3 linked regions of the Drosophila melanogaster genome follow. The protein of the gene in region 1 interacts with the protein of each later gene in a pairwise test. Each region holds a gene or a part of one and is shown in the gene's direction. Other genes may lie near its edges.

Region 1 (3,833 bases):
TGGACCGCATTCGCTGGTGCCTGAAGCGCCTCATGCATCTTTACAGCGAAGAATCGAGTTCCGAAGCAGTAGCTCCGGAGCGCTCGTTCCTTAAGCTGGTGGATGGCGCATTGGATTGTTTGGCGCAGTTCACCTCGCACAGTGAGGAAAACACCGATACCTCCAACTGTCCAAAGACTCCCAAGGAAGTCCTTCCACTCAGCCAGAAGTTGCGCGCCAACATTGATTTGATCTTGGGTCAATCTCTGGGATTCGCCAATGTGGCTTTGTCTCAGGACAAGAGGGCTCTCAGTGCCTTGTGCCAAAAGGTGGGTGTACATCTTCTGCAGTATCCCCTTATTTATTCCCCTCATTTGTGCTCTAGGTCATCCGGGAGTGCAATGCCTTTCAGGAGGAGTGCAAGGAGTCATTCAGTGCCAACTACCTGTCCACCCTTAAGCTGCGGGCCATGACCATGGAACAGGCAATTTACCAATTGGAGGACTTTATCAACGATGCGCTTTTGCGCTTGGTATTCACATGCTTCCTGGACTTCGAGAAGTTTTCGGTAGACAAAATTAGAGCGCTGTTAAGGAACAGCCCAGATAATGATGATCTGGCCGATGAGTTCATAGCGGACTTTGATGTGAACATAGATCGCGCCACCCAGATAGGCATTTTTGCCATTTCCTTTGCGCCCAACTTGAAAAGTATAATAATTATATATAATTATAAAAAAAAACGCAATTAACTCCAGTACCAATTCCTTTTCAGTGAAAACCATAATGCGCAGCTGTCTGGCCTCCTTTGAATCACTGGACACCACTCTGATACCTTCACTGCAGGCCCATGGTTCCGATTTGCACTCGGACATCCTAGAGCAGCACTTTAACGAGGAGGTGGCCAAGTTCAAGGCAGCGCTTCAGGAGATCATCGACAGCCGCGCCCTCGTTGGTTGTTGCCTGGAGATACTGACCTCAGGGATAAGTGCAACGGAAAAGCTTTTCGATAAGCAGCGATTGGAGGACTTGGTTCAAATCTCTTTGCTGCTAGTCGAGCACTTTCAGCTGGAAGTCAACCGAAAGGGTCTAAGCGAAACGCAGGACCGATTGGGGGAAGAGTACTACCAGCAGTTCATCCGGGTACTGCGCGAGTGCAAGGCTATTTTGATGTGCGCATCCCAGGTGGAGCCGCAGAGAATCCTCAAGCGCTTCAAGATCTTGCGCACGATCTTGCGCAAATTGCACGGCTCCCTGGGAGCTGGTAAACAAGAGGAGGAACTTCCTATTCCCCTGGCTCCCCTTTTAGCTGATGATACCAAGGGGGTAAATGAAGACGAAACCCATTTCACTGGCTATAAAACAGCCCGAAGCGGCAGTATCCTCTACGACACAGAGCGTAGGAATAGAGTAACTAGACGAACGGACAACAAGCTACCCACAAATACCTTGGACATTAAATCGGATAAGGCAAAACCCCATGGAAATGTTCTGAGAAGTAAGTCGGCTGATGTTTAGATAAATTTGGTAAGGTTACCAATGTTTTGAATGCTATTTTCAGGAGAAAGTTTACGGACTGTCATGTTCAAGCGGCAGAATATAGCTGAAAGCAGAAAGCTATACACCTCCATGAGTAATCAGTCTACGGATCTACAAATCACAGGTACCTAAAATGATTACATTTCCTATTTTATAAGTTTTTCCATTAAATTTCGTATATTTTTAGATATACTCGACCAACTCACTGGAATGTCCAATGGATACTTTGAATGCTGAAGCATTTCAACCATTTGTACATAACTTTTTATTTAGTTTAGTGTTTAAGTTCATACCATTTAAGAGATTTTGCAATTCAAACTTAACGTACGTCGCCACCTGAATGTCATAGGTCAGGTCAGGCATACACACAAACATGTATGTTCCTCGGGTGGCGAAGAGTATCGCATCGGAAACAGTTTAGACTGTTGTAAAAGTAGAGCAATAGGTTCCAATAAATATATAGACACATAGCACACTTGTCAGCGCATCTCCCTCGGTCGATTGACCTTTCAATTGCACTGGACACCCTCGTTCAACCCAACATGTGAAGCTGTGTGGGCAATCCCTATCGATTTTCCACCACGAGCGGCAGCCAGGACTCGCAGTCAACAGATACACACGGTAATTGCTTGGTAAACAGTAAGCACTCGGCTATGAAATCTCTGGCCGGCGATAAATTTGCTCTGTCCGAAGAGATTGGGCCACCGCCTTGTTCTCCCAAACACCGAAAAGCAAGTGCCGTGAGTAGGGACACGGATACAAATAACCATCATGTGGTGCCGCTGGGGATCCTCGTGGTGCTCTGCACTGTGTATCTCATGGTAGCCGGGATGCAGCGCAACTACAGGCACTATTTTAAGCCGGGCGTGGCTGCCTTCGACCTGCACCATGCCCAGCCGGAAGCCATGGCCGACGCCGAATTGGATGTCGCCGCTCCAGATGCATCGTGCCAGAGGTTGGACGTTTTCGGAAAGGAATCCAATCGGAATCAGGCAGTTTCAAGAAGATCCCAAGGCAGGCCCACGAAGAGAACCAAAAACGGCACTGGAAATGGGGTCAGCAAGCAACCTCGTCGTTTGATAAAGTCCCCGGAGGGGCACAAGAAGAAGGAAGTTGGCAAGAAGAGTAACACAGCGGAGCCCATTATTTACCTGTTCGCCCTTGTGTTTGTCTATCTGCTTCTGAAGGCCGCCTCGGACATCAACCAGCACTACAAGTCGGTAAGGATAACCCGCATTCCATTCCCTATTGCCACGTGAATAATCCTTCTTCGGCAGCAGAACAAAGGGGACAAGCGACTGCGCCGGTGCTCGCTGCAATCTTATGCCCAGATCCACAAGCAGGATCGCCGGTCATCAAAAGGTATTTCACCAAAATCTTTGCCAAAGTTTTAGCTCGCTGGGGGCCAGGTGCCTAGCCTATTACACCGTGTTAACGAGGGATCAAGTGAATTGTTATCCTATAAATCTAAATGTATCTACCACTATGTACTGAACTAGCCAATCTTCTCTACTCTAAAGCACCAGTTTTCTGACTTTTTCGGAAAATGTATTGTTGTGTATTGTGTATCTCTCGTCTGTCCTCAATCTCTATACATCTATACATCTGTACATCGCACTTTTCGGGCTCGATTATGCGTTTGATATCTGTGTTTTTGAACGACCTCCACTGTTTACCTCCTCTTCACCTATCTGTGAAACTGTACTGAATCCGAATATAAGGTTGTACATACTCGAATGTATATTACTGTCCTAAGTGTACGTAATCCTAAAATAAATCAATTACTATGTGCTTTCCTGTGATCAATTTACATACGTAGCCGTGTTAGCTTGCGTTTCATTTCCTCCGTTCGATTGGGCTTTTACGCAATCCTCTGCGATCCTCTCTCACCCCGAATCCCAAACTGACCGCTCTACATTTCCCCAATGCATGCCAAAAGTGGATGAGTCCCCCATCTTCCGGCGCAAGCATATAATCAGCGAGGAGCGTTCCGTATCTGTGGATCGCTTCAAGTACACGCTAAACGATGAGGGAGGCTTCACCAGGTCCGTTCCGCTGGTTCAGGAGTATCACTACAGGGTGGTATCTCCTTTGGCCAGCCGACCCAGTCAGCAGCATCCGCATAAGCCGGGATCCGGAGAAGCCCGTTTCGGTAAAGAGTCCCCACAACAAAGTGACACGTCCCATAAGACCAACTACTTTCTTCTCTAGAGCCTCGTCTTAACCGTCGCTCCTCGGTTCCGATCAGCATTAACTATCAAACGGTGCACGTATCGAGTCCACATCCTCCGGAAATGGCCAGGCGCGGCTCGGTGA
Region 2 (4,072 bases), on another chromosome or scaffold:
CTTTTCTTCGTGCTCTTACTCTACCACCTCCTTTCACCTCCTCATCCTCCACGTTCTCGTTATTCGCTTCTTCTTCTTCTTCTGACTCACCTGAGAGAGTTCCGAATCATCGCGCAATTTGTCCGCCAAATCGGCGGCGGCGGCTGCGTTCGCGGCGCAGAGCAGCGCCAAAAGCAGCGCTGCAGCGTTCAGCATTTTAGCGGACGAGCAGCAGCAGCAACAACAACCACAACAGCACTTGTTTATGCGCTGGCAGTGTACGTCGTTTGTGAGTGTGGCTGTGTGTGCTGTTTTGCGGGGGGCGTGTGCTGGTGTGAGTGCTGCTCTACGATTAAGATCTGCAATTCAAAGGCAAACAACAGTTAGCCGACGACAAACAGCATTTCCTCGGAAAAGAAAATATTATTTCACAGATATATGCTTGGCATGCTTTTTGTCCTCCTTGGTATTTTCTTTGTTTTTGCAAGGTTATCGCTGCTTCCTGTTCGCTTTTGCCCAGAGTTCCGTTATGTCACATAGAACAACAAGCGAAAAACGGACCACCGAGGAATCGGCAAGCACAACACAAACGCAATTTAACTAGAAACAAAGCTGCGCTTATTGTGTATTATTTTTTCTTCATTCCGTCGCTGTGTGTTTAATTATTATGCGCCTTTGCATTTCGCTGCTGCGGCACTTTTTTCTGTTTTCGATTTTATAGTTTTCTCTCTGGTCTTTATTCTGCGTAATTCTCGGAAACTCGGGCTGCAGGAATTAACATTAACGGCCGCCGCAGAAATTATGCAATGTCCACGGACCAAACTTGGAAAACACACAAATTCTTTAAGTAGCACACACAAACGAACGCAGCGCGGTGGTAAATCAATAGCAAGGGCAGCGAAATGGGCCGTGCAGCTATTTTAGAGTTATGCCCTATGCACAGTATAGATTTTCCACAGAGTTTCAATATAAGGGGAGCAAGTACCAGTCGGAGGAATCGCAACGTGCGCCACGCTCGAACGTTTTTTTCGAATTAAAACGAAAAGCGGAGAACAGGTTTAAGCCGAGCGTGTGGTGACGATAACGAGTGTTATCGATAGCTGTCGATGTTTCAAATCGCAACACTGTGCACTGTTAATAAATCGCTTAACATTTATATTTATTTGTGCATGTCTTTGGCGGTGACTCTTATTTATGTGCTTTTTATGCTTTTCCGAATCTTGTTAGAGGTAAAATATTAGTACAAATCGAGCGCTGCGTTGCTCTTCTGTGTCAGATTTATAATAATGTCTGTTTATCCAATCTTATTATTATTACAAGAAGACTGCTTTAAATTTTCTCATTTTTCGTTTAAAAGCATAAATAATCATTTTAACCGTTTCGCAAAATGTGGCAACGACAGAATGCGGTGGATAACTCCGCTAAGCAGAGTCTCTACTGTTTGAAAGATTTTATTCCAAATTGAACCGGTTATAATTTTCAAGCACTTATTTTTTTACTTTTCTAAGGAGATAACATTGAATTTTAACAAGCAGTGTACCTATTTGGTTCTTCTTACTTTAAGTAAATGGTAAAAGTCTTCGATAAACCACGCCGTTACTAAGCAACTTGCCACCAGCAACGCTTGTTTGCTATTGAAATCAAATTAATATCATTATCAGTTTTGACAATACCATTGCAAAGACCGAATTCAGAAAGCCAATAACGATGACTGACCAAAGCGAGCTGGATCAGTTGGCAACTGCCGAGCTGCAGAGGCTGCAACGCCAGCATCGGGGTCTCCAGCTGGACCTTCGGGGTCTCCTCGAGGAGAAGGCCAAGCGCCTGAAGAAGCAGAATCACATGATCAACGTACTGCAAGTGGAGCACCAGAAGCTGAAGGAGGAGATCAAGACTCTAGAAGGTGGTACTCATGCGCGAAAGAACACCAATGTAGATATCCACTTAATGGACTAGTCAGCCACATATAAAAGGTTTACATCGGTTTCAGAGAGAGAAGCACCTGGGCACTTTGCAGGAACAGCAGGCGGATTTGCAGAGGGTGCTCCAGAATGAGCGAACCAATCTCTGGGAACTGGAGGGCCACATCCGGAAAATGGAAAAGGAGATTGATGCCCTGCGGCGCAACGAAGTGCCCGACAACTGCTACAAGGACACCATCTGCAAGGTGCAGAAGAGCGTGGTCAAGTTGGAGAACCGCCTGGATGTCGTCAACAAAAAATGCAGCGATGTGCTCACTGAAAACAGCAAGATGAGGGACGCCATAAACCACATGTTGCAGGATCGGTGAGCATTTCTCGCTAGATATATACAATCTATAAAATACACACTAGGTTTATGAAAAGTCAACTAGGTGCTCTCCATATTATTAGGTTTTTATACCGAATTGAGCTAATGCGTTTCGACTCCACTCCAGGGCAAACTTCAATGACATGTGGCAGTCGATGGTAACCCAGTTTAACGAGGGCAAGAAGTTCATCATGGATCTCATAGACCAGTCGACACTGGCTTTCGACCAGAGAGAAGAGCTGTGCAACAAGCTGACCGTCCTAAAGGATCGCAACGAGAACGACAAGGTAATGCACATCCAGGAGATGCGCGAGATGCAGCGCCGCCTGGAGCACGACGCCAAGTTGCAGAAGTTCTTCGACATCAAGGGACAAAAGCGCCTCAATCCGGAGCTGGAGCAGCGCGAGCTGGACAAGAAGCAGAGTCAGAAGGAGACCTACGAGAGGCAGCTTCTGGAGTACAAGGAGATCATCGAGAAGATCAAGTTGCTCTACGGCGAGGAGGACGCGGACCGACTGGTGGCCCAGTTCAAGCGTCAGGAGGACGAGAACTTTGCCCTTTTCAACTATGTAAACGAACTGAGTCACGAGGTTGAAGTACTCAACGATTCCACTCAGGAGCTCCAAGATGAAATAGGTGTGTTGTTGGATTCTGAATTAGGCTATAGACTAGTCTTTATACTAAAATTTGTACATAATAATCCAAACAGAGCGCCAGAAATCGGAGCAGACCGAGAAGGAGTTGAAGCTTAAGACCGAGGCACTTGACTATCTAAATGCCGAGAAGGAGCGGATCGAGCAGCTGGCGGAGGAGACCAGAGAAAGGAAGCGAACCCTGAGCATCAGATTAGAACAGCTTCTCAAGGGCATCGAGGATATATTCAGGTGCAATCTGCGAGTATATATCCTTACTATTGACTGTCTACCAAATTCCATTTTAATTTTAGACAATTGGCCTGTGACGATGCTCCTATCCTTAATGTGCTCAGTACCAAAACCTTTTTGACAGTTCACAATGTGAAGCTTTTCATTGGCGTCATTGAACGCCGGGTCAACCTGATCATCAGCGCCATCAATATCGAGGATAACTCCAACAAAATACTGGCCCGAAAGGATCGTGTTCCCAAATTCAACATACGGGAATCGGCGAAAACTAAAAACTAAGAATTAGTAGGCATTCATTTTTCTCCAAAATATTAAATGATAACCAAAGTATCTACACATACCGATAAAACTTATATCCTAATCTTATAAATATATGAAATACATGCTGCCGAAGTTTACAACAAGCTAGTTAAATGGAAATCCGATTGGACGATTCAAATTCGATCTTATTTGTTTAATTTAAACTGTCCGTTTATTGCTTAAACCTATAAACTACAGTCTATTCAATGAACACCCAAGGTTTTTAATAGTTCGAGTTCTGATTGAGGCCATTAGATTAAATAAATAACCTGACAAGCGTCCACAATAAGAAGCCAGCTATGACACAGAGTAGGGTCACAAAGCTGTAGTGCAGGATCTTCAATCTAATAATGTATATGAGATCATTTTATGCAAATATAGAACATCTTTCCACAAGAACATACCGATAAAAGAGTCGCCGACCCTGTTCAAGAGATTCCTGCGTTGGAGGTTCCTTGGTCAGGTAAAGTCGCATGCCGAAGAGGGCCTTCCGGAAGTACTCTTTCCAGTCCAAAGTCTCCATATCGAAGTTGTACAATCGCCGATCCTCCGGAGACATCATCACTCTCAGCCGATCCGTGCTTTTCGTCTCAAAGTGCCAACTGTTGTTCATAAAGTGC
Region 3 (7,546 bases), on another chromosome or scaffold:
TGCTCGAGAGCACGCGACTGCTGATGAAGATGCACGCCTTTGTGAGGTACAATGCTGAGCGCGTTCTGAATGGCAAGGCCAAGAAGGAAGATGCGGAGGAGGAGAAAGAAGGCAGTGAGCGACCCTTTGTGCCGCCGCTGAGCTGTTACACGTACTTTTTGTTTGCACCCACGCTTATCTACCGAGACAGCTACCCGCGCACCTCCCACATCCGCTGGAAGTTTGCCCTGAATCGACTGTTGGAGGTGGTGGCCATAGCCTTCCTGTACGCGTTCATCCATGAGCGGCACATCCACGAGCACTTCGGACAGTACGGACTGGAACCAATGGGACCCTCCCAGCTGATCCTCAAGCTGTTCGGCATGATGCTGCCCAGCGCGGTGATCTTTCTGTGCGGCTTCTACCTAATCCTGCACTCGTGGCTGAACTTCACGTCGGAGCTGCTACGCTTCGGTGATCGAATGTTCTACAAGGACTGGTGGACGTCGCACACTTACGATGGCTACTACAGAAACTGGAATGTCGTCGTGCACGACTGGCTGTACGAGTACGTGTACAAGGATATGTACACTCATGTGTTCCGAGGTTCCAAGGTGGCCGCCTCGCTGGCAGTGTTCATGATCTCCGCTGTGGTCCATGAGCAGGTTCTCGGCTTTGCCCTGCAAATGTTCTTCCCAGTGATGTTCTTCTTCTTTGGGGTCGTGGGTGTTGCCTTGGTATTCCTAATGCGGAGTGCTCCAAAAGTGATGGGCAACATCTTTCTGTGGTTCTCTCTGATCCTGGGAAATGCCACGCTGATCTCACTATACGCCATGGAGCATTACGCCCTAAAGAACTGCAACCTAAGCAACGAGAGTTGGACGTATCGCCTGCTGCCGGCGGTATGGCGCTGCTACAATTAGTCAATTAGTTAAACACTACTTTTAAACTGTCTGTACACAGGGCGTACGCTTCGATTTGTATTTTAGGTAAATAAACTTAATGAAATTAACAGAAACGATGTCTTCAGTTCGTTTCGTGTCTTTGAACTTCCCAGCTGAACCCTAAAGCTATGGTTTCTTATTTTACATCAGGCTGCCTGATGCTAACTTATGAAATACTACGTGAGCATTGACGAGTGCGTCCTTGGAAGAGCATTCCTCGGCGGCATGGCATCCTCCGCCTAACCGCAGAGATTCGCGATGGCCTGAGCCGCATTAGCGGCTGCCACCTGTGGAGCGTCCTCTGCCGGAATGCGTTTGCGTCGGAATAGAATCACATGCGGCTCCGGCGCGTGGACCATGTAGTGCACCCAGCCGGGGCTCTGCTGCACGCCCAGGTTGCGCCACTCCGTCTCGGTCATCAGATGAGCCTTCGGCACATGTTTGGCCAAATCCGGTGGCAAGATAACATGCCTGCAGGGAGGGAAAGTGGTTTGTGTGTAAACAAACAGTTCACGGATGCTGAAACGCAAGTTGAACGTACCTGTATTCAAAGTTGTCGTCGAAGTACTTCTCTGAGTATTGAATTTGATCGGCCGGCATTGCGAAAAGCCAGAAAACCTGAGGTAAATTAAGCAATTTTACCAAAATAGGTCAATAAATTCAGATAGATATGCCACAACTGATTCGATTCTAAATACTATTGTTATCGCTGCACGTATCGAACATAAAGTTATCGATTTGGTTATCAGCTGTCCAGTTAACAGCACCTTTGGCGGTAAACTCAAATGTACTGTTTTTAATGGCACGATCTTAGCGGGCTTTAATATATTGAACATAAACTTTTTTCTGTATAACAATATTTTTGCAATGTTTAAAGCCATTTTAAAGCCATTTTGTTAAAAAAACGAGTACTTTGTAAAAAGATGCTGTTAGAAAATGTTAACATATTTAGCGAATGAAAAACTCAATTGGATAATATGTGATTTCCAGTGTGACCGGAACTCGCAGGCTCGCACATTTTCCAAATGCAATCGGCAATTTCTCCGTTACTCGCCCATGGCCACATTTGTGCATGTGCGTTTGAGGTTCCTTTCCTTTTTATATAAGCCCCTCGTCTCTTGCCAACAAACCAACAACAACAACAACCAGCCAGGCCAGCGGGCAACAACAACGCACAACAACGCGTATAAATAAACGTGAACGCATGTACTTAATATTAGCATAGAGTTGTCGCCTGCGTGCATTTCATATACATAACATAACATCCACTTACTCCCATGACAACGGGACTTTAGACAGTAACGGTGGAGCAGCTAGAAGAAGAGGAAAGGCGAAGTAGAACGGGAACAAGAAGAAAAAGCAGTGGAAGAGGTGAGGACGATACGTAAATACAGTCAAACTTCCATAAGTAGATACGACTTTACTACTACAATAAAAAGTGTCCTTTAGTGATGAAGAAAATGGGTTCTAAGAACCTAAAACCTTTATGTATATGTACTCCCTATTGTCGCTTAATGAATTTACCGTTACGGTATGCTAGTAAATAAATGCATACAATGTACATATGTAGATACATAGGCACAGCAAAACCACCTATAAATTCGATTGATTTTATGAAGTTCTAGTTGAGGAAGTTTGACTGTATGTATGCGCGCATTGGTAAATACGAGCAGACCGCAATTAGCAAATATTTTTCAGTCCAGCAGGTATCACTCACCACGTACCGCCCAAAGGTCCCAATGCTGGCGTAGAGAAGCCGAAACACCTGCTGCTGCCAGTGGAAAAGCGGGAGGAGCTGCTCCAAACTGCCCAGGTGACATCCAATCATTTAGAGGCGACGCACCTGCCGCCTTGAGGAACTGGTCGCCACGCAGGAGGACACGGATACGGCAACGGTTACGGACTCGTTTCCGCAGTAGCGGGCACCATGAACGCCAGCCTCATCTATGAGATACTTATGTATCTGAACTCGTTCTACTTTGGCATGTACGCCGCCTTCGAAGTGGGCGTGGGCGTTCTTAAGGCGATTAATCTAAACTACGGCGAGAACGCGTTGTCCCGGGAGGCCAGCATCCTGCTCTCACTGTGCATCATCGAGACCGTGCGCATTGTCTTCGGGCGGAAGAGCAGTCTAAGCGATCGTGGTGAGTAATCCCCATGATCCCCATGTTACTGCAAGGGTGGGAAAAGTCCACCGGCAGCGATGATGACATGGCGAAATTATTTGTTTGCCCGGTCACAATGCCCATTTCATGCCATCCCCCTACCTCCGGGGCCATAACCCATAAACGTTTGGACGGGCATACATACATATATGTATGATGTAGCCCACTCGGCGTATGCGTAATTATGGTCATCACCCCGGATGAAAACACGCGTTTTATGGTGGCAGGGGAAAGGCGCCCTTCTGGCACATTAAGCAATATGCAAAGGAAATCTATCAAAGCGAATCATCGAAATGAGTTATTGGAAAAGCAATTGGAGCTGTTAATATTAATTATCGCAATGTGTAAACATGAAATTATTAGTATAATACTTTAAAACACTGAATCACTTTCAATCGAATACACTTAATTATAAACAAGTAGACGAACTATACGATTTTCCGTGCATCTGTAGCTAACATTTTCCTTGTTTTTCTCTCTTTGCAGGCTGGCAAGCAACCGCATCCGTAATATTAACACTGCCCAGTCTTGCTATTGTTATCTACTTGTGTTGTTTTCAAACCTTTGTTCTCAAACTCGAAATTATTCTGAGTGCCTTAATGATCACCCTACAAGGTGCTGAACTAGTCTACGCCAGCATATTCATTTGTACAATGTGTCGCCCCGTCACATACACCTAGCAGTTGATAAGCCGCGTTGCCGCCGCCACGTCAACGACCAAGATCGAGATCAAGACCAAGCCAGCACTAACACTCCCACCTGGAGGAGAAGGAGTAGAAGCATCCACAGCCGAGCGACGACTACGACGAAGACGAAACACTTTCCTCTGGCAATTTCACATCAAACGATTCGCCAAGGCCTCAAAACTAAGCCACTTAAATGCACACTAAGCCACCGCACATAAAAACAAAACAAAAAATCTAGATCCTACTAGACCTCCTAGGAATCCGTGCCAAGACAACCCGATAACATACCCAATGGCTGGCAGTTGAGGAGGACTTTCAACAAGGTACGTGAACCTTTATAAACTTATATAATCCGCACAGATCATTCGCGCCCGCGGAAATCACATCGCAGCGAAACACGACGCGTCCGATTCTATCAAAAGCAAAGCTGCATTTAATTTGCATTTCTTGGTTGCATTCTTTTGCCCGGCCTTTGTGGCGTTGCCTCCCTGCTGGCGCAGTTGCTCCTCGGACCCGCTCGGTTCTGGTATTTTTATACGGCTCTGATGGTCTAAAATTATATGCGAACTGCACGGCTCGTGCAACACCGCTGCTGTCCCCTAGGTGCAATGTACACTTCTAATTTGAATGTAATATACACGGCCCACTGCGGGCAAGTTAGCCTGACTGTAATGGCCAAGATGAGAGGGCTCTCCGTTTGGTCTTTGGTCTAGTGAACATGCCCTGTACGATTCACAGGAGAGAGATTCACGGGACTTTAGCGAGGCATAACGCTTTGAGTTTTTAAAAATAATTAAAATTCCAACAATGGTTTTCATATATTCACCCTAAACCTATCCTGAATTTCAAGGTAACCATTTAATGGCCCTGGGCCCTGTAGAGCATAACGCCCAGGGAGTTTTTAGTAGTTTTTTCCCCCCAACTAGCCGCCAGTGAAATCATTCTCCCCCACATTTCTAGGCAGGCGATCTGCCGGCCAATGCTGACCCAAACAGCGAGCAGAGAAAACAAATAAAAGGCGACAACGACCAGCAGCACATTATTCAAATAAACAGCACATTTCGCAGCGACAAACCGTGAGACCGCCGATGTCGATGCCGCTGCCGCTGCATTGGCCAAGCACGGCAGGTTCGCGTTATTATTATGGTCAGTCTATAAATACAGTGCCCAACGTGAGCAACGCCGCCGTGTGAGCGATCCGGGAGATCAAATCGGTCCAATTTGCCGTAGACATCGAGGGGTAACAGGAGAAGCAGCAGAAGGAGGTGCTAAGCCGGCAGAAAGATGCCGCCCAAGCGTCCGCCACCGCTCGTGCCGAAGAAGCCAAATCCCAGCATGAACTACGAGGTGTTGATCTACCTCAACTCGTTCTACTTTGGCATGTTCGCCTGTTGCGAGATGGCCATGGGCCTCCTGAAGGCCATCAATCTCAGCTACACGGGACATACTCTAGCCCTGGACACGGGGGTGATGATTAGCTTCATTGTCTTTGAGACGATCCGATTGATAATGGGGCGCATGAGTTCGCTGGCCGATCGAGGTAGAAGCTCCCGCCTGCTGGCTGGTCTAATTATAGGATATTCTAAAACAATAGAATCATCCTCAATGGCGTTATCAATCGTTTAATCAAACCAAACCATTAGACTTAAGAAATACTAATTAACTCATTATCATCCTTATTTATAATTGTAATAGAATAGTATCTATGGCTTTTACAATCAGATTCTAATGAACTCTTCTGCTTTTCTATCACAGGCTGGTCGGCCATACTGTCGGTCTTCATGACCGCCCCCTGCTTTGTGGGCGTCTCCTATCTACTGCTGCTCCAGACCTACCGACTGCGCCTGGAGTACTGCCTGTGCACGCTGCAGATCGCCCTTTACCTGACCGAGGTGTGGTATGCCATCGTCTTCGTTTTCTCGCTGTGTCGTCCAGTAACTTATGATTAGCCATATAGACAGAAACATCCAACAGCCAACTAGCAGCAAATATACATGCGAAAGTTTAGCAATCTATAAGATCGAAAAAGGATAATATGCGGTGTAAGGAAATTTAATGAATTTGAAAAGCAGTAGGCAGCTGAATTGCTCATGGCCGTGGAGAAGAGAAACCAAACAGAAAGAAAAAAAAAACAAAACAAAACACATATGTAGCATATTAATAATTATGTATAGTAAGGTTTATGATAACATACACACACTCTTATATACATATATTTAACGGTTTTATATACAAAAATTGTTAACATTTAAGCATCAATTGGAACCAATATAAGACAACAAGCAAAACCTAAAACTTGAATAATTTTCACAATTTTAAGATGAAAATTTTTTTGTAAAAAGAAAAATATCGAAAAACAGCCGAAAAACAAATTTGATGTGTGGAAATAATAATTTATAATAGTTCACAGATAGCTCGAATCTTAAAAAGAATTGTAAAAAAATCAGTGGAATGTCTCACAAAATCTAGTCAGCATCAAAATCATGAAAAACAAATGGCCGAAAGGCCATTAAAAAAATTCATTACCACTAAGAGTCAGCGTTTAGTAGTTCATACCAATATTCAAAAGGCGGAGAACAACATAATTAAGCCCAGTTAAAAGTCTAGACCATGTGTGTACTTTAATGAAACTACTTTATATAAACCTAGCAAATAGCGTAAATAACATTTTCAAGACGTCACTAAAAACAATGCAAACCCGAGCGGGCAACCGTTTACTAGAAAGCGAACAACAAATTAGCTAAATCATATAAAACATTTATAGAGTGTTAAAAACTAGGCGAAAACCCTCCATTACACTTCTCCCCAATTCAGCCTATTGGCAACTCGAAACGCCCTTTAAATCACGCTCAATTATCCCCGCCTGATAGGATCCGAGGATTGCAGCTCCTCCAATGCTAGTCACTAATGTTCACAAACATTTTCTAAGCTAGACCGAAGATTGTGTAATAATTTGATAAGACCTTTGTGTGGTTTCATAGCAAAATAACGCACAAATCGATAACAAAAACTCTCAACAGTCCACAAATCTCATGCTTTTAAAACAAAAGAAATAATTTTACTGAAACCAAACAGCTGGAAGCTAGAAGCTGAAAGAAAACCAAAGCCACATCCTACGTTGAATAATTTACCTGTATAATATTTATGTCATTTCGTTAAACGCAAAATGTTAACATACTTTTAAAGCGCGTGTAAAACGGATAGTTAATAAAATAACGACAACAATATTTAAAAGAACATATACACTCGATGAAAATGAATATTAAAGATCGAAAAAAAGAAAAAGGAATCTGTTATTAGTAGGCCGTGGGTTCAATAAGATCTTTTCGAGTATGATAGGTGTATTTCGTTTTGTGCCTCCAAAATTTCAGATATTATTCAGCTACACACAGACAGGCCTCCCAAATTTGTAAGCTCTGTAAATTCAAAACCAGAACTGCTGCAGGCCAGTGGCGAAGTTAATTTGTCAGAGGAAAACTCAAGCCATCTCCATGGATAAAAACCACAAGTCGGGTGAGTCAAGCCGAGTGTGGCATCCTTAAGTTGTTAAAACTATGTGTGTTCTTTGCTCCAGAAGAGGGGTTTGGACGTTCAATGTCTAGTAGCAGTCGCCGCGTCATGTGGAAGCTCAACGAGGAGGAGGAGACATTCGACTCCTTGGTCAATTATCGGCGGCTTCCTTCGCGCAGCCTAAACCGAAGTCAGGTGACCGATGTGCCCACCAAGGGACACACTACCTCCGAAAATTGCCAGCTGCCAGCGCAAGAGTTGG

What was found. Proteins that work in one complex are often made in the same cells at the same time.
Region 2: the proteins of CG8248 (region 1) and Ccdc114 interact in a two-hybrid assay, tested with the Drosophila melanogaster proteins (one large-scale study listed by BioGRID).
Region 3: the proteins of CG8248 (region 1) and TMEM216 interact in a two-hybrid assay, tested with the Drosophila melanogaster proteins (one large-scale study listed by BioGRID).

Annotation. Positions count from the first base shown.
Region 1 is NT_033778.4:8,918,428-8,922,260, reverse strand, and holds CG8248 (uncharacterized protein), read left to right. Parts: upstream 1-1,892; 5' UTR 1,893-2,170; coding exon 2,171-2,737; intron 2,738-2,794; coding exon 2,795-2,911; 3' UTR 2,912-3,321; downstream 3,322-3,833. Other genes in the region: Spt (spitting image), read left to right, coding at 1-308, 365-689, 754-1,476, 1,540-1,641, 1,705-1,754; CG34219 (uncharacterized protein), read left to right, coding at 3,447-3,669, 3,729-3,833.
Region 2 is NT_033777.3:16,622,235-16,626,306, reverse strand, and holds Ccdc114 (Coiled-coil domain containing protein 114), read left to right. Parts: upstream 1-1,589; 5' UTR 1,590-1,686; coding exon 1,687-1,911; intron 1,912-1,969; coding exon 1,970-2,265; intron 2,266-2,395; coding exon 2,396-2,904; intron 2,905-2,977; coding exon 2,978-3,152; intron 3,153-3,214; coding exon 3,215-3,431; 3' UTR 3,432-3,572; downstream 3,573-4,072. Other genes in the region: Fas1 (fasciclin 1), read right to left, coding at 91-195; CG14893 (uncharacterized protein), read right to left, coding at 3,709-3,796, 3,857-4,072.
Region 3 is NT_033777.3:8,714,275-8,721,820, forward strand, and holds TMEM216 (transmembrane protein 216), read left to right. Parts: upstream 1-1,968; 5' UTR 1,969-2,294; intron 2,295-2,621; 5' UTR 2,622-2,850; coding exon 2,851-3,067; intron 3,068-3,574; coding exon 3,575-3,768; 3' UTR 3,769-4,097; exon of another isoform or gene 4,098-4,182; intron 4,183-4,923; exon of another isoform or gene 4,924-5,058; coding exon of another isoform or gene 5,059-5,314; intron 5,315-5,529; coding exon of another isoform or gene 5,530-5,723; 3' UTR 5,724-7,046; downstream 7,047-7,546. Other genes in the region: CG8112 (uncharacterized protein), read left to right, coding at 1-902; Cks85A (Cyclin-dependent kinase subunit 85A), read right to left, coding at 1,163-1,394, 1,465-1,523; CG11760 (uncharacterized protein), read left to right, coding at 5,059-5,314, 5,530-5,723; CG8136 (uncharacterized protein), read left to right, coding at 7,266-7,287, 7,349-7,546.